4 linked regions of the Drosophila melanogaster genome follow. The gene in region 2 interacts genetically with the main gene of each other region. Each region holds a gene or a part of one and is shown on either strand. Other genes may lie near its edges.

What was found.
Region 1: of sd (region 2) and Ncoa6, changing one enhances a phenotype caused by changing the other (phenotypic enhancement), as found in Drosophila melanogaster (one study listed by BioGRID).
Region 3: of sd (region 2) and sli, changing one suppresses a phenotype caused by changing the other (phenotypic suppression), as found in Drosophila melanogaster (one study listed by BioGRID).
Region 4: of sd (region 2) and osa, changing one enhances a phenotype caused by changing the other (phenotypic enhancement), as found in Drosophila melanogaster (one study listed by BioGRID).

Annotation. Positions count from the first base shown.
Region 1 is NT_033779.5:5,323,661-5,328,560, reverse strand, and holds the start of Ncoa6 (nuclear receptor coactivator 6), read left to right. Parts: upstream 1-1,877; 5' UTR 1,878-2,594; coding exon 2,595-2,609; intron 2,610-3,651; coding exon 3,652-3,835; intron 3,836-3,897; coding exon 3,898-4,900. Other genes in the region: CG14022 (uncharacterized protein), read left to right, coding at 182-308, 372-486; cype (cyclope), read right to left, coding at 754-817, 885-1,054.
Region 2 is NC_004354.4:15,813,739-15,818,317, reverse strand, and holds the start of sd (scalloped), read right to left. Parts: upstream 3,020-4,579; 5' UTR 2,588-3,019; intron 168-2,587; exon of another isoform or gene 1-167. UniProt on the Drosophila melanogaster protein: Transcription factor which plays a key role in the Hippo/SWH (Sav/Wts/Hpo) signaling pathway, a signaling pathway that plays a pivotal role in organ size control and tumor suppression by restricting proliferation and promoting apoptosis.
Region 3 is NT_033778.4:15,919,074-15,923,728, reverse strand, and holds the start of sli (slit), read left to right. Parts: upstream 1-1,610; 5' UTR 1,611-2,090; intron 2,091-4,655. Other genes in the region: bdg (bedraggled), read left to right, coding at 18-546.
Region 4 is NT_033777.3:17,715,294-17,720,336, forward strand, and holds the start of osa (osa), read right to left. Parts: upstream 3,058-5,043; 5' UTR 2,663-3,057; intron 1,642-2,662; 5' UTR 1,474-1,641; coding exon 559-1,473; intron 1-558. Other genes in the region: Pxt (Peroxinectin-like), read left to right, coding at 4,278-4,443, 4,738-5,043. UniProt on the Drosophila melanogaster protein: Trithorax group (trxG) protein required for embryonic segmentation, development of the notum and wing margin, and photoreceptor differentiation. Required for the activation of genes such as Antp, Ubx and Eve.

The sequences.
Region 1 (4,900 bases), on a different chromosome or scaffold from region 2:
CATGGGAAATAGGAATCGGGAATCAAGCATAGCATAGCTCTCTCGAATGGTTGCCTAAAAATAAACCCTCAGTAGCTAGTTACTTTGGGGCCCCAAACTGTCCTTGGCTTTGTTTCACGCCCCATTCCACATGCACTAGAGACTATATAAAACATATACCATTGCTTTTTTCGACCGGCAGGCCTGAATCTCACGAAAGACACCCGCGATCGCTGCACCAAGGCGGGAATCACTGGCTGGGTGAAGAACAGCAAACAGGGCACCATTGTGGGCAAGATGCAGGGGCCCAAGGAGGAGGTGGACAAGATGTGAGTAAACCGGAATAGTTTACACTCTCCATGCTAATATTTTCTGATTAAATCTACTCTTAGGATCACCTGGCTGTCCACTGAGGGCTCACCCGGCTGCCAAATCGATCGCTGTGAGGTCCGGAACCAGGGCAATCTCAGCCGACTGGACTACAAGGACTTTGCCATTAGGTTTTAGATGTGGTCCGGTTTGTGTGGCCTTATAGTTTTGTGTGTTTGTTTTGTGCATTACTTGGCTAAGTTTGTAAATACGAGTAAATAATAAAGAATTTAATCATAATTTGCCTTCACATTTACTTTTGCTGGCAATACAAGATAGCTCTAAATTAAAACGCCTTCGTGCACGTACGTAGACTGAAATCTATTTAGTTTTCAATACAGAAGCGCAACTCTTGTTCTACAACATCATTTGACTTAGACTACTTGTGTTTTGGGATAACATAGCCTAGCAGGACTGGAAACGACCGGCGGCCTTCATGCGCTCGAAGGACTTGTTGGCATCGTACTTCCTGCAGGGATAATGGATAAAACAGATCAGATGATGACATTCATGTGGCATAGTTAAGCTATATTTACGAGTAGAAGTCGGCGTAGGCGGCCTTCTTGGGATCGTTGACCAGAATTTTGTAGGCGATGGTCACCACGGCGGTCAGGCCCAGGGAAACGGCCAGGTTGCGCTTGATGGTGGCATTGTGGAGGCCACGGAGCACGGGTCCGGCAGAGGAGGTGGCTGGAGTGTTGGCCATGTCGCTGAAAAGAATGAAAATCACAAAAATCAATTATATTGCTCGGTAGTTACGTAAGGTGCTCAAAGGCAGCTGCCATTAAACGCATAGCAACTAATGAATTCTCCCCAGAAATTTATGGAGTTGATATGGCCAACTGGTATGATATTTAATTACTTTTTTTAAGTTCCAAAACCCCTTGAACCGTGTTTTTTAAAGAAAAACCTTGTTATGTACTCACATTTGCAAATTCAGAATCTGAGATAGAGATGGAACCTAAAACAAATTCTATTCAATACTATCGTTTATTCGAAGAAGGTGGCAGCATTCGCGAAATTATCGATTGATCTTTGGAAAATAAATAATAAAAATATATATTAAAAAGCACTCCTAGACAATTTGACAGAATCATTTCATTTAATAATAAAATGATTTTGAGGCTAAATACGCAGAATTAAGAGAAAAGTGTGTTAAGTAATAACTTTTCAAATTTTTCATCTGGAAGCTATGAGGCCAGCTAAAATCAATAGTTTAAAGCAGGAAAAATATTTGTGAATGAAATTTATATATTGAACATGTTCAAATTATGTTACCATTATATTTATGATTGCTAAACATGTTTAAAAATAAAAGACAATATAGCAATACAATTTATTTATAAATTTATTAGCACTAATTAAATAAAATTACAATTTCCAAACAATTGACAACTCTGCTCGAGCCAAATTTCCAATACAGGCTACTTCGCAGCCCTGGTAACCACAAATATGTCGGGAAATTTAGGGAATTTCGGGCCGCGGACGTCTGGCAACACCGGCTGGAAAATAAAAATGGCTACCACTGTGTGCTTGTTATTGTTCGTGGAAATTTAATAATTACGAAGTTTTTTGTACAAAATAAACAGGATAAACGCATCGTTGCAACGCCAATTGATGGTTGAAAAACAAGCGCGAATCTTTCGACAGCAATCAGTGCGTTTATCAAGTGCCCGCACGCAATCGAACCGTGTGAAATTAAGCCCCCGAAAATCGGCTGCCCGAATGCGTGAAAATTTTCGAGTTCCGCTAAACAGGCATTACTATTTGGCCAGCGATTGTGAAATGGAGAACAGTGGGGGCCCAAACGTATTCAGTTTGCCCTAAACAACAATTGAAAAGCGGGCACGCAAGATTTCCAGCAGGAAAAGCGCTTGAAAAGTGACGCAGGAAAATCCGTATCCGCGCCCCGCACGTGTGTGTGTGTGAGTGTGTGTGTTGCAGTGCATGTGAGTGTGTGTGTTGGTGAGGCTACTACTAAAAAAAAAAGTAAAAAGCAAAAGGGGAGAAGAGAAAAAAATAATAGTGGAAAATGCCCAAAAACCCAAGTCGCAGAGGTTAAAAACTGAGTGCGGATTACATCGAAAGACAATAAACCGAAGCCATCGAGTGTCAAGCCTATAATGCAATTGGTCCAACAATTTCAATCCAAAGGACGCCACGGCGGTCAATCGAAAGCTAAATGCGAGAATTGAGCAGCGTTCTAACAATTAAACCTACGACGCGTGCGATTGTCGTGTGATGATATGCCACTTAAACAGGTGAGTTTATCGTGTTTCGCTTTTTGGTGGAGCGCAACGGAACAGCTGATTTGCGATTATTGCACTTCAAGTGGGCTTCTTTTTCCCCCCTTTTCTTGTCTGTTTTTGCCATCGCTTTTGCTCATTTTACACTTGCGTCACCCACGCACTCAGAGACGGGTATAAAAACAAAAACAATAGGCGGCGAAAAGGGTGAACTAATTGGTTGGCTTCGAGTGTATAGAATCTCGCATTTCCCGTGTTTATTTTTTCATCTCTCTTTTTCGGTTCCCCCTTTTTTATTTTATTAATCAGCCCGCCCCCTTTTTACCCCCCGCCTTAGTGCCAAGCAAGTATTTTGGTTACCTTTTCCCTCTGCCACACACACACACTTGCCCAACCAGCACACGTACACGAGCAAGCACGCACACCGGCGCACCGCCTTCCAAGAGGCCAAGAAGAAAAATGGCGACGACGTCGGGGTATCGATAACACGTCCCGCAGAGAGAAAAGGAAAACGCACGCACGCATGAGAAAATGCAACCTGTGGGCACCAGCTGCCCCGACCCGCTCCGCCCCCTTTTGGCATGCCGCGCGTGGAAAATGCAGTCAGCTGAATTGTCTTTTGGGTTACTCAATTCAAGCGCATTATCTTTGGGGACTGTTGTCGAAACAAATTGTTGTTGGAATTTCCAACGAGTGCCCTATGGCCATCCTGCTCTAGCGCCAGAGACCGCAGGGTCAAAAACAAAACGAGAAATGCAAATAACATATGCAATATATAAAAATAATTAGATTCAAGTATGGCAGATCTAGTGAAGGTAAATTATAAGTTAAATAATTAAGGTTTGGAATTGTGTTTGGCCATAAATTAGGCGTTTCTATGTTTGCGTGTCGTAAACCAGGGCTGCAAACTCTCGCTGCATAGATATCGATAACAAAATAGTGGCCATCGCCAGCAATTTCACTATCCCTCTTCTTCTTTCTCTTCCTATACGGCTCCTTAAATGTTAATTAAATGTTGTAAATTTGCAAAATGTCTCACATGTGTGCCACTTTGCAGCAGCTTGAACCGTCACTGGTGCGGATATTGGTCTCGCTACCCTGGGACGCAGCACAACGGCTGCGCCAGCTGGCCAACGATGGAAATCCGGAGCTGCGCGCCCTCAACATTCAGTCAGTGCAATTCGAGGGCGATTCTGTGATAAATTTGAAAGTTGGTGGACAAGATATTAAGATAACCAAGGGTGAGTAATGGCAACAAATGTCCACTAAACGAGCAATTAACCTGAGTAATCCCTACCCGCAGATAATGTAAACGAGACACTTGAGGCGGCTGGCTCGCTTTCCGGCAACAAGAGTGGTCTGCTGGCCACGGGATTCGATGGCCCCAGTACGAGCAAGGCGGCATCCGCCTTTATGCAACAGCAGCAGCAGCGAATCCTGCAACAGCCCCAAAACGATGCAATCTCACTCCAGCAAAGAAGAGCAGCGGCGGCGGGCCTGGGACTTCAGAAGATGCCCCTCCACACCACGCAGCAGCAGCAGCAACAACAGCAGCAGCAGCAGGTGGCCGTGACACCCGCCGTCTTTAAATCCCCCAATACTGTATGTCCCATGGAGGGCAAGGTGCCGTTGCTGCTGCCATCACCGTCCGCCACGCGCGACTTTCCCTTCGAGAGCATGCGGCAGGCGAGAGTACTGCAAGGTCGAGAGGCGGGCGGTCTGGGTCCGCCCCTACCGCCACCTCCTCCGCCAAATGTAACTCTAAAGGTGCTGAAGACGCAACAGCAGCAGGCACCTCAGAATGGCGAACTGACACCCACAACGCCAACGTCAGCTGCTCCAACGCCGCCGGGCAGCAAATCTCAGTTCATCCAGCCACCACCGCCGCCATATCCGGGTTTGGGAGCTGCAACGGCCAGCAGCGTCAGTTCACCCATTGCCATAGCGGGCGTTAGTGCCAAGCCAGCCATTGTGACGGCACCCAGCCAGCTTAACCATCCGCTTGGGCATCCGCCGCTGCCTACGGCGACTTCGACGGGCAGCAACAACATTGCCATATCGTCGCCGCTGCTTGTGAATCTGCTGCAGAACGACGGCAATGGCATGTCGAATCCGAACCAGCTCAAGTCGCCCCAACAGCAGCAGCAGCAGTCACCGCTGATTGGTATGAGCCCCAGTGGAGCGCAGATGATGAACTCCCCTATGCGATCCTCCGGCCCGGCGACGCCAAGCGATTTTCTTATGGGCGACGTACTGAGTCCGGTGGTGCCTTCCTCACCCACAACGCCCCAGGCGGCGGCTCCTCC
Region 2 (4,579 bases):
CGAATCATTATAATTTCAATTATTTTGTAATTTATTTTTGTTTTGTATTCGCCTTGCTTCTTCCACACAGCGTGAAAAAAAAAAAAAACAATCCCGGACGGCAGCGGCAAAGAAACAAAAACTAAAATGCGTCTGGTTAAGAGAAACGCGCACGTCAAACTGAAATGTGCCGTATAGTTTCCACATATTTCTATTCTTTGTTTTGGCCGGTTCCTTTTCTGCCCCTGGTGTTTCGCCCATATAAACCTATAGGGATGGTTGCTCTAGGCATTCGTATTCGTGAGACAGCGGATAGAATGCAGTGTGGCACATACCCTCGCAGCGTACTATTGATAGAATAAAATAGAATGGAAGTAGAAGCCTTCAAATAGCCAGCCTGCAGTGTGGGGCGTCAAGTGAGAGTCTGGGTCAGCAGGGGTATGATATGGTATGGTATGGTATAGTATGGTATGGCATGGTATGGTATGGTATAGTCTATAGTCTAGCATAGGTAAAGGTGTGCTACGGAACTTCAGACAGGGGGCGAGTCAACACTATCAAGGATCAGAGGCATGGTATGCTATGGTATCCATATATGATATGATAAGGAATAGAATGTTATAGTGTAAGGTATGGAATATATGGTATAATAGGCAATAGTAGTTTGTAGTCAGCTATGTAGCTTGCAATGGTAGTTAGTAGAGTAAATAATGGTATAGTACTGCATAGTTAATCTGCTATATTAAGAAGAAACTGGACTTAGTTCAGTTTAATAAAGTATGGTATAGATGGGTGTAGTTAATAATAGAATGGCGTCGTATGGAAGCAGTTCGCCAGTATCCAGGACAAGTCGGGACAGTTCGATCCCAGTTCTATCCTAGGCACAATACCAGAATTTCCCGAAACGGAAACGACTGTATGTTTGGCTATCAAAAAAGTAGAATGCATATTGCACAGCTTGGAAATGCATGGCGCAGTGCAGGGGTTGGGATCGTTTTAGGGGGTGAATGTGCCATTTTTCATAATCTCGTAAGCACTCCACGCACACAAACACACACACACACACACACACACTCACACACAAAAGGACGAAAAGGAGTGTAATGAAACGGACAAAATAGCTGAACCGTGCATTAATATTATCACATGGCATTTCAGAATTTCTGAATTCAAACAGCAGCGGTTCAGTTCGGGATAATTTCCAATTAGAAAAACTAGAAACAGACTTTCCTACGCTTGAACTCAATTTCCGCCTCGAAAACTCAACACGCAGCTGCTCGTTCTGTTCAGTTCTGTTCGGTTTTAATAAGGGAATGTGTGTTCTTTTTCCTGCCTTTTCCATTCCTACCCTTAGAAGCCGCAATTTTGTTGTGCGGCAATTGGAATTTATGGTATGCATTCTGCTTTTTCATTTTCTTTATGTATGCCCCGTCGCATACACATACATAATGTACATACATATATATATATCCGCTTATACATACATATACATACATACATATATAAACGAAGAATGTGCCTGGATGGGATGGTAAGGAGCTCGATGATGACGTACTTAGCGCACTCAGGATCAAAGTTGGGATCCGCAATCCCTACACAGCCAAACGCACTTTGACTTTCAGCAGAAAACCGTAACAGGTAAAAATTATTGTTCGTATCTTTTTAGTGACAAATAATATAAAAGGACAGTGCAATGCATTATCAAATTATTGACAATATGTTTAGTATAGCATATATATCCTATATTCGTGTGAAGGTGCTATCAAAAGGATAATCTTTTGGTTACATAAAATACAGATCAATACACATGATGTAGAGATCATTTTTTAGGTCTTCAAATTATTCCCAAGTCAATAGAGTTTTATAGGAAATTAAGGTGGCGATTCTAACCCTATAAAGTGTACAAATATATTTTCAATCAGCATAACGATCTGTAAAAAATTTTAATTATTCACAATTGCACTATAGAACTTAAACTGTCTTAAGCGAAACACTGTACACGTATTAATTCATTGATTATTCATAGGGCATATAGAGTTCGGTGCGCTGCCCTTTCATTATTTCAACCCCTAAAGCAACGCACTCCCATTTTCTGCTGCCGAAAATCTTTAGAAGTCAGCACAAACGAATTTGCAACCTGGCAAAGGTTAAAAAGGAATTTCTGTGAGGTGCAACGACAAAATAATTAATAATAAATCTTTTGTCCTCTTAGCTTTTAATGAAATTATGTGAGGTAATGTTAATAATGAACATAAAGGAATAATGAAATTACGAAATACTTTTCTAAGAGCAAGTGTTTAAGAACAGGCAGCTAGAAAATAGACAACAAATGTGCGAAGGAAGTGAAAACTAGAATGGTTCATTAGATATATTTACGATTTTGATCGGATATAGGATATTTTAAGCTAAAACAGGTGACTAAACTTTAAATTTTCCGAAAGCCTTTTGAAGTTTATATAGTTCAAATATTGTTGGAAAATTACGTACGTTTAACTTAACATAGGAAATTTAAGGCAGAAAACCATAATTGTGTAAAGAACTCATAATTTGCTAAAAGTTCTTCAAATTTATCATTCATTGATATGCTGGAAATTGAGTAAGTACTTACTTATTGAGTAAGTAACGCAGCAGTCATAAGAACGATCGGTCAACTAAATGGGCTGAGCTTGCTGTTTTTTTTTTTAAGTAACTGCGATTAACTTTATCACAATCGGATATGTTTTCGTTGCTCTTAAAGATATTCGCCAATGACTCATGACATACTCATTCCGTAGGCTACAGAAGCCCATAGCTGTGATAGCAACTGGTCATATACCAACGTGAGTAATACATTTTGGTTGTAACTCGTAGAGTATATGGTGTTCGGCTTGTCCAAGTTGACTTTTTCATTGTTTTCACTTCATTTTCTTTTATCACTTATCAATAGTTGCGTTGTTTGCAGAAAGGTATTACGATATTATTGTAAATATACACAGCTCATTTAGAAAATTCATTTCGTAGAATGCGATTCAGAAGTAAAAATAGTAAGTGAATTATTGTAGTTTTGCTTGAAAGTTTTTGTTTAAAACCGACAAGTTGCGAACAAGTGTTGTGGCAAACAATGCCCACAAGTATACCAAATCTTTTTCAGGTTTTTTTTTTTAATGATTCCAATAGGACATTCAGCTATTCGATTAGTCTTCGTTGCTCACTATTGCCAGTAAAGTAATAAAAATAAAAGTATATGTCCATATGTACATATATCTTTTCATAATGTGTATCTATGTATATGTGAACAGCAGACAAGTTGATGGCTCTTAAACTGAGGTAATAAATATATCGTAAAACAGCAGATCGCGTGGACATGTCAACATATTTCGCCAAAATCCAGATCGACAAAATCCGTATGTATATGATTTTTTTGTGCTGCGAATTGTCTCCCACACTGCATTTACAAGCTTCTGGCCAAAAATAAGATTATGCAATGCTGTGCAAAATGAACAACACATGCGAGAAAAGCTCTTTTCGAAATCCGCTCGGTTGGCAAAATATTTTCGAGCTAACCCCCCCCCCCCCCCCCATTCATCTTATAAGAACCACTGTGTTATCTTAAACCTGACTAATCCATTGAATTATTCATCTTGGCAATCGAAAGTTGGTGGCAGCTTGCCCTCTCTTTTCGGATTTAGAACGCTTAGATTTAGATTTGGGTATGTATGTATGTATGTATGTATGTATGTATGGTTTACATGTACGATATGTATGAGATATGTGCAGATGGGTGGAGAGTTTACTCTATAGCGATGGAGAGAAGGTGCCCTGCAGTTCAGGTCTCCGTTTTCGGGTGACTTTCTCAAATGAAAACCCGCCATGCATGTGCATGTGCTTTGCATTGAGAACCCACGAGGAAAGTCACCAAAGAAAAACCAGAGATCGACAAACTTTTGGGCGCTGGATGTGGAGTGGGTGTGTGGGGTGGGGGTGGAGTTGTAGGTTTATGGCATAGAGTTTGGATTTACGAGGTGTGTCTTTGTATGACTGGGTAATTCGGATGGGCAACGGACCTGCCTGTTGTTCTGTCTTCTCGGCAACTTCCAACTCGCTGCAGCTCAGGTTGTTCTGCAATTGCAGCAGCCCAGTGCTGCAAGTGCTCGAGCTGGTGATGTTTTTCATGCAGCCAGCTTTTTTTTCGTAGATTTCCTTTAGGTTTCGCTATTCACGAGTATGCCCGCCCGGAGGAATAGGAATACGACTTCGAGTACGAGAACGAGTACGGAACGAGTGCGGTACGAGTACGGTGCGTTGTCCACTTAGTTTACGGAATTAAAAGAAATCTGTTCGCGCTAGATTTAGACTCTGATGTCACCGTCTCCACCAACAACATCAAACGTTGTTGTCGTCTCCGGCTGGTCAAAGGCAAGGCACTCACTCTTGTTATTATTATTAGCTTGTAACAGTAACTGTTTTTCAGCTTTTCAGTTTTTCAGGCTCTGCGCTGGGCGTGTTATTATCTATGTCGTTGATAACACGATGGAGCGGTTTGTTAATTTATATTATACATGTGTACAAGTTATGGCAGCGTCTTTGAACGGGTCCGTTGACGGGGGCGGGGGGTTTGTGC
Region 3 (4,655 bases), on a different chromosome or scaffold from region 2:
CCAATTTATCGACACAGGGTTCTCGGAGACTCAAGTCGAACGCGACCCGTGCTCTCCCTCGATGCGGAGTCTGCTTCGCCAGCGGCGCCGCCTGATTACCTAACCATACTGACCAATCCGGCTGGCAGTAGTTTCAACGCGGATCCTTCGCCAGCTTCCAGCAGCAGTCCCGAGTCCATAGAGATCGACCAGCGACCCGTTGGCTACTCCCAACGCTCGCAATCGTTGGGCAGGAAACTGCATCGTTCGGGTGCTTCGACACTGGAGAGGCGGCCCTATACGGCGGAGGATGTGGTGACCATACTGCGCTCCTCGGTGCGACATCGCCAGTCGCAGGGAGGCGGAAATTTGGTCACTGCCAGCACCCTGCCTCGCCCCCCAACCGCCGCCATGTCCACGCACTTGGAGGACGCCTCATTCCGATCCATAGAGAATCTTGTGCTGAATGCCGAGCCACCGGACAGAACGCCCGGTGTGGAGCTGGAGCTCGAATTGGAGGCTGGACAGGCGGAGGAGTGCGCGCGAAATAATACATCTGTGATTTAACTGACTAATATCGTACCGTACATAGCGTAACTCTTATGCGATCCACATATCCGCTTGCTTTCTTAGACTTGATTAGCGCTAGTTATCTAAATACGAATATTACCTTGTAGTTATGCGAATAATAACGAAAACAACTAGTTGGTACTCCCAAGTGTGAGCTCTTTTGATCCCTACAACCGGTATTCCCAGTTCGATCCAACCCACCCCATTTAATTCCATTTCACATATATTTTAGGCTTACGGATCGCGCCTGTCTGCACAGTTGCCCTTAAAATTATCCCAACAATGGAGTAGGCCTCCTACGTGCCCAGCTCTCGAGGGTCAGCTATTTAAGGGAATACGTACTTGGGCCCTAAGCCGATTAACAAACGTGACCAGTTGAATAAAAAAAGTGAAAATAAACGGAAGTCCAGGATGGCGTAGCCAACAAAGGCGCCTAATGAGGCGGGCCAGGAAGTTGCTGCATATTTCGATTAAAATGTCACGCCATTTCTTTTGTTTTCTTTGTGACTTGCATATTCCAAAGGGATTGGCCTGCAAAAAAGTTAATCCGCGGAATTTTTAAATCAGCACGAATTGGCGGTTATTATTTTAATATCTGGCAGCGCTGGTTCAAAGAACCAGTTCAAATGGGTTGAGTCTCGGCTAGAACTTTTGTGAAGTTCACACAATAATTGATACCGTTATTTTTACTTATAATTAGTAATTTTAATGCTAGAAATACATAAATAACAATTGAGACCTATATAAAAGCAAGTGATAAGGGTTCTTATACAAGCCAATGTGTGTAGTACAACTACTCTATAATTTGGGATGATAGTTATAAAGTTTTAAATAAATATATATTTTCATGAAAATATTATCAACACTTTAATAATGAACGAGTTTTTGGACCCTTATTAACCATAATATTTGAAATTTAAGTTGGAACAAGAAACTTTTAAACTGTTGGCGAACGCGGTATTTTTTAGGCCCTTCTTGCCGGGTGAGGTTACTCCTGCATCTGGTAACACTGCTCGGCAGCGAAACAGAAACATAAAAAATTCGAACGGCGACGAGAGCGGTCAGACGCACGCATCACTTTCAATCGCGTCGCGTAGAGCGTCCAAAAAGAATTATAGTATAAACCAAGAGTGAAGATTCCGGTGAGCAAAGAATTTGCAATTGCCAAACTTAAGCAAAAACCATAAAGTGTGCATTGGCAATTGAAGTCGCGCGTTCTTAGCCAATCCACATTTGCACGGCCATTTTAAAGCCAAGTTAAGGCCAAAGTTTTCTGCCGCGCCGTCTTCGTAAGTCGCAGGTCGAAAAGTGCTCAAACGAGATTTCCACTTGAAATTCCTGAATTTCGTTTGTCTGCGCGAATCGCATCGAATCGAATTGAAGCACAAATCGCAGCAGCAGAAAAGCGCAAAAGTCGAATTTAAATTCCGTCTGCAAAGTGCCGAAAATTAGTGTCTTTGTTGTGTTAGTGTTTTGTTTCTTTGTCTGTGTGGGTGTTACGATTACGATTGGATTAGCGGTGTTTTCGCCTGATTAAAACGGTAAGTGTCCTTGCGATAATCCTGCGTGCAAAGTTAGTTAGCTGGTGCCAAGTTCGCTCGCCACTCACACACCTCCACCGCCGCCACTCACAACTTATTTTGCTGCAATTTGCTCTAGTGTTTTGTATTAGCATTTTTATGTCCCGCCTCGCCAAAGTTGACAAACAAAAACGTACACACACACACATACACGCACCGACACGTAAGCACACGCACACAAAGGATTTCATTACATTTTGGGTGGGACGTAACGGTAACGTTGAAGTGTAACGTATAACCCTCCCCTCGTTCTATCTCTTTCCCGCCCAAAGCCCCGAATGCTGTGCTACCGAATTTGTTTTCGCCTTCGCTCAGTTCTGTTTTCTCCTGTTTTTATTTATTTTGATGGCGTATTTTGCCATTCCGCTTTGTTCGTATTGCGTATCCTGTCGCCTGCGCTATCCTTCTACAGTCGCATCTGGCTAGAAGGAACTATCGTGTGCCTCAGTCACATGAAAAATATTACACTTACGTAGGTGATTTGATTTTTAAATGTATAAAGTCCCCTTCAAATTGCTAATTGAAAAATATATAAGTTCATGTACATAATCTTATTATGTCATCAATTAGAACCACAACATCTTTGGTTTCCCATTAGTATTTATAGTAACATTTTCTGAGCCCAGGGTATTCTGGTTTCACTGTACATTTTTCGCTGTCAGCTTTTCTTCCTAGTTTCTGCCAGCATTGAAATGAGTTCGCAATAAATATTGCCCAATGTCAAATAAAAGGGCGATGAGCCAGCCTTTTTCCGCCATGGCCCCTTTCCACCTCGGCCTATCTCCTCCATTCGCTCTAATCTCGGGGGACACTAATGCTTTACGACAATTCCTATGCCGTATGCCGCCCAGTACAAACTTAATGCACACATCAATGGCAAATTAGATATACTCCACAGCAAATGTACTAATAACAATCATCGAGTGCGTGTGCGGGCGGGCTTCCGATTCATCCCATACCATACCATACCATACGATACGATACCATCCCGAACCATTCCATCCCACACATACGTCCTCTCAAGACGATTGTTTTGTTGATTTGGCTGTTACTTCCAATACATTGGCATTTAAGGGGCAGAATTGGGATCCACTTATGTGCCTGCCTTATGTCTCATTTGTCGTCGGGCAAATGGAAATCGTTTTGTTTTTGCCTTGTCAAGTGACAAATTTTCATTGTCTCCCGCCACTAATCGCTTACTTAAAACAAAAAAAAAAACCAAAAAAATGAAGAAGATACCACGCCAAAGACTCCAAACAAGAAATAAGACAAGTGTAAATAAACACTTGAGGAGGAGGGAGCGTGGGATCGGGAGTCACGACTAACCGATATCCTCTGTACAGTGTGGGCGGGGGCATATACGCAATGACATTATCATAAAAGGTGCACATGCCAGAAGTTAAGTCGCGACAACTTTCCGTTATAACTTTCAATAACCTTTGTTGTTTGCTCCAATAAAAGCATTTTAATCGATACTCTTGACTTGTGTCAATCCATTCGGATTTGTTTTTGGTTACTAATGGATGTAATGTATGAAGTTATTGGGGCGGCATAAATTAAGAACTTATTTCCTTTGTGGATTTCACGTTACTAAACAGATGGTGATGTGACGCAAATGAAGTCCTAACAAAAGGATATTTATATATATGGTATTCTTTCGCCTAGCTATTTACCTGTATTTTCATATTTATAAAAATACTAAAAGGCCATTCATATTTTATATGGCGTGTGGTCTAATTACTTATTTTTATGACCTAGAGAAGCAAAGATTATAAATTAGCCGTTAAACATTCCTTTCCTCCATCGTACATACCTTTCGATACCCTGTAAATTCCAGTGTATGTACTTAGAGTACGCACACGTACTTGCCTCTTTTGGTGGCATTGCCCGCGGCACCTTCACTTGGCGCAGCTTGCCTTAATTTCCAGCGGACAAACCACTTTGTTATCGCCACGCCGAGGGCCCTTTAATCTCTGGTAGTCCCTGGTTGGCTGGTCAGACCCACCTCCATCTCCGTCGCCTGCCCATTGATTTACGTCTCTATTTTCCAAATGTAGCGCAATCGATTTAGATTGATTTTGTTTAAACAAACTGCACAGCGCAGCAGAAGCAGCAGCATAAAAGGCACCAGAAAGTGTAATAAATAATTGGAAACGGAATCGTTGGGCTGATTTTAATGCCAGCGTTAATTGCGAGAGCCACCCAATTTCATTTCCATTTCCATGCCCAATCGAAATCCAAATGCCATTCCCCAACCCTCCCCATACCTTCAACATTTTCATGCCGATGTAGCGATGCCCTAGGCCAATTCCAAATCCAAATCCAATTCCTATTCCTATTCCTATTCCATCGATGCTTTGGTAATTAGTTGTGAATTGGATTGGGGATCACATAAAAGTGTTGATTACACACTCCGATGGCTGCGCCCCCAGCCACGCCCCCTTCCCGGCTGGGTGCCAAGTGTTTTGTTTGTGTTTATCTCGTCTTCGACGTGTCTTTTTGGGTTTTTCAGAGGAATTAGGGTTA
Region 4 (5,043 bases), on a different chromosome or scaffold from region 2:
CACAATGACACCATTTCTGGTGCAACAACTAGATCATTTAATATTCTTTTCGGAAAATGGTTATTTTGTTACAGAATACACAACATTTATTGTGTCCTTTTCATTAAGTTTCTATCCTGGAAGGCGTTTAAGCTACCATCCAGTTTTTCGTTACTTTAAAGCCGAAGGTTGCCCCCGCAATATTGAGAATAAATATGAAATAAGATACTATAACTTGAAAAGACAACCGCATTTTCTATTTTCGGAAGCTGTGAATTAAAACGAATCATAAAAACACTGCTTTTGGTAAATACTTCAAGGCATTCCTAAACAACGTATTACACCGGAACAAAGTATTTACAACTATTTCAAGTTCGGAGACTATTTAAGCCGAATACTCTTGACTTTTAGATGTATCTTCCACAATATCTTGTATCTACAGAACTTTCAAACATTTTTATGGACTTGCAATGATTTCTCGTGAACGCAACTAAATATACCTTTCAATTTACAACTTTTCTATCCCAAAAAAGCATGTTATCCTTGTTATCCCCAAATATCCCCTTTTTGATCACTTACCGGTGGTGGTGTCCTGTACTGCTGTGACGGTCCCAGTTGCGGACTGTAGGGCCTTGGTGGCGGTGCCCAGCCGCCCTGTTGCCCTCCGTACGGCGATGGCTGGTGCTGCGGTGGCGGCGGTCCATGTCCTGGTGGAGGGGGTCCACCGGCCTGCTGTTGCTGAGCCGCCGCTGCCGCTGCCGCCGAAGCGGCCGCCTGCTGGGGATCGTAGGTGTTGGCGTAGCGATGCTGCGGCGGAGGCGGCGGATTCGAGGACTGAAGCAGAGAGTTTAACGTTGGCGTGGGTCCCTGCGGAGGCTGACCGGGTATGTAGCGCTGCTGGGGCGGACGATTAGGTGAGCCACCGGGCCCCGGTTGCTGCGGGGGTTGCTGTTGAGGATGTGGCTGTTGTTGTTGTGGAGGCTTTCCACCTGGCAGCGGCTGGCCATAGCGATATGGATCCATGTTGGGATCGGCGTGGTAGCGACCATACGCCGGATGTGGATGAGGCGGCGGCAAGTGAGTGTACTCCTCCTTGACACCGGGCGCATGCTCAGGTGCTCCTCCGGGCGGTGGTGGTGCAGGTCCGCCGTGGTGCTGCTGTTGCTGCATATGGGGTGGTGGCGGATGCTGCTGTTGCTGCTGGTGCAGATGATGATAGTGCATGACTGCAGCTGGGTCCGGTCCTGGTGGTCCTCCAGGACCAGATCCTGGGGGCGGTGGTGCGCCGTATGGATGTGGGGCAACATTTTGTTGTTGCTGCTGGATGCTGGGATCGCTACCGTTGTTGCTGTTGTTGTTGGGTGTGGGCGGGCCCGAGGTTGGCGGTGTAGCGGCACCAGGAGCCGCTCCAGCCGATGGGGGCGTGGCAGCAGGGGCGGGAGCGCCACCTTGCTGCTGCTGCTGTGTTTGCGGCGACTTTATTTTCTCATTCATGGCTGCTCATCGGCTTCTGGCTGCGCTGCTCCCGATCTCCCAGATTTTCCGGATCGGATTTTCCCAGATGTGTGGCGGCTACTGATGGAACACCGGTAACCACCAACAACAACAACGCTGACGCTGATGATGACGACGACTGCAGCGGCGAGTTTGAGGTTATGTTAGCTGCAAGTTATCAAAAACGGGGGATTAGCATTTGGCAAAGGGGGTCTGGCTTATTAAAGGGGGCAGTCCTATATCACTGGGCCTAAATCGAGCGGGTTAAACATAAATAATTTGTACTCGTTCGTGGGCTGTTGTGTATTGAAAAGTCCGCTACTAACACACGCACACACATGCTCACTCGAACAGGCAGCACCAATACCACAACAATTTATTTTCCGCCGCGTACGGTGGGCAAATCGTAGTGCGTTGACAACCCTGCCGCAACCGCTCTCGCAGTTTGAGCGCATCCACTCTCGTTGGCGCTCTCGCTCTCTCTTTTCACATTTGGCGGCTATACACGCACACGCCGTATCCCTTTCCGTCTCACTTGCACTTGCTCGCCATCCAGGCTGAAGGCATATGGCGCTCTCGCTCGCTCGCTCACTCTCTCCCTTGCTCGCTTTATTAGTTTCTGTGTGAAACGAATGAAACGGGCAGCACAGTAATGATTTTTTCGTAATTATTTTCTATGCCGATTTTTCGCGTTTACACAGCACTGGAATGGAATGGACGAGGGGGCATCATCTCACAATTGTTTAACTTATTTTCTTTTCGTGAGTGGGAGAGAGAGGGGGGCTAACGCTTAAGATTTATAAATAATTGCCGCGCCTGCTTGGCCGCGTTTGTTGCGCGTTCACTTTTGGCCGCTGCCGTTGTCTTGAGAGGCTCTCTTTTTTTGTTCGGCTGCTTGCGTTTTCCTGCGGTTTTTCGCCAAGTGTTTATGAAGATGATGATGATGCAAGGATTCGACATCCAATCATTTGCATATGTATACACACACGCACTCACTCGCACACACACTCACACAGCCTCCAAAGTGCATCGTCGAGAGGAGAGAAACTGAATTTTTCACTCGCCCTCGGGCGAAAGTCCGGCGGCAGATTTGTTGTTGGGCCAAGAAGACTCAATATATATTTTGCGGGGCGCTTTGGTTTTTGGGGCTTTTCTTAACCAGAAATCTACATACACGCACACCACTTACACATAGAAGAATATTCACGCATTGACGACCGTCCACAGACTGGCTATATATACTAAAAACGAACTCGCGTGAGAAGACAGGGACAGGGCAGCAAACTCGGTATACGAACGGAACGAAATGAAACGATTCAAGTAGTAGTGTATGCAAGTCTTGTCTGTCTGCGCCTGGCGTTCTTTTCTCTTCTTTTTTTCGATGGTTTTTCGCCAGGCTGGGCGCTGCCAAAACGCTGATACGGCGGCCACAATCACACGCGGCTAATCGCCAGTTGGGCCCTGCACAGGCTGCACATACTTTTCACTATTAATGCGCTGTATTTCACTTATTTTTCGAACAAATTCGCAGCATGACGAAGAAGCGAGCCTGTACAAGATTAGAGCGGGTAGCACGCACGATAGTATCGATACGTACGAGTATTTGGCACTGCGATACATTATCGGTGCTCGTTTCGATAGCCCCCGATAGCTCTAGCACGAAATTTTATCGCTTTATCCATATTTTATACTATTTTTATTTATTGGACTTCAATGAATATTTATTTTACGTTCTGGTTCGCTTTTTAAATATATATGGTAATCAATAGCTGGCGAATTAGCGATATTTGAGTGTGACGCAAAAATGAGTTGGCATCGATATCGATTTCTCGCTACTCTGGGACGCCATCTTTATTGCGGTATTTTAAACGGAAACTTAACTCAAATTAAACGGCGTGCTAAAATTTTCCATTTTTTTCGAATAAAAGCACGTAAAAGTTTGTGAAGATGTAAAAGTTATAAAAACTAGAAAGCCTTATTCGTGGCCAGCGCTTTCGTTTTAGAAATACGTCAATTTAAAGTTTTTAAGGTAAATTGCAAAATTGCAATAATTGCAATAATATAATAATAATAAAATTTTGGTAAGTTATAAGAGAGTAAATACAATTTTGAAAGTTTATACCCCCGTTAACAAACCACTTGAATTTAGAGTGGCAGAACTATGCAACTACAGCGAGTTTAAACATCGATATATTCGTGATTTTTGGTTTGCTTATTATCGATTCCATACAAAACTACCGGCATAAGCAATTTTAAAATAGACGTAAACAACATCAACGTAATTAATCCACAAAAACAAATTCTTTTATTAATTTTAATTGATGCAATACATTTTAATTTTTGTGAAACTCTAAATATCAATAGTCGCCCTATGCATTGATCATTGTCACAAACATTGTTAAAATTTATTAAATTTATTTTGGTAGAACACTAGGTTTTCGATTTACTGGCTTCCGGATTTTTACTCATAGGTTTTAAAAATATTTTTTGCCAAGGATATCAACTAAAAAAATATTTGTTTATTTTTTTATAATATTAATGAAATTCTATATTGAACATTTTTATTTTTTGAACTGCTTGCACAATTTGCTAATAAGAGAAGTTGCGCTTAACAGTAAAATGTTACTGACATTAACAGCACACGTACGAGAATTACAGTACACTGCTTTCGACTTGCTGTGATATCGAGCATTCCTGGTATCGAGTGCAAAATGGCGGCATTTTAAGTTCAATTTAACACGATTAGGTTGAGCTTGTCGATTCTTTTTTAAGTATAAGCCAACAAATGTTTCATTAAACGCATAATGAGTCGCATTTTATTTATTTTGTTGCTACTTATTGTGACGCAACTGAGCGAGTTGCAGGCGGCAGCATTTTCTGTGCGCCAAAATCGTTTTGATGAAGTTCCTGATTTGCAGACTCCTGCACCTCTGGCCACTTCCACTGAATCTTCTAAGAAACCCGAAAAAGGTTGGTTACATATGTACGTTTAGTGATATAAATTGAATATCTCGGCAATTTCAAAATGGCGTAAAGGGTGAAAGTGTTCTTGTCCGCTCTCTGTGAATATAAGTTACGGTTAATCGCTCTACACTGAAAACAACTGCATAAAAAACTTTCATATTTACATAATTAACAAAATCAAATTTTTGTAAAATTAAATACAATATAATATAAAAGTATAATTGTTTCTTCAATTTTAAAATTATATTTTTATGGTTATTTTTATTTCGTAAATTGTACAAATTTGGTCTTTCTGTGTAGCTACCAGTGGTCTGCTGAAAAAATGCCTTCCCTGCAGCGATGGTATAAGATGCGTGCCCCAAATCCAGTGTCCCGCCCACGTTCGCATGGAAAGCCATGAAAAGCCCCAAATTTGCGATCTCCCGGCTGGAAAATTCGGCTACTGCTGCGAGACTGGACAGAATCACACTGCTCCCAAGCCGGAGACCTCTCCCAAGGAGCGTCGATCCGGATTTCCCACCATTCTGTCACCCGCAGTTTTGGATGAGGCGCGTCGCAATTTCGAGCACTTGATGCATGGAGTTGCGCAGATTCCGGTGCGCCGTG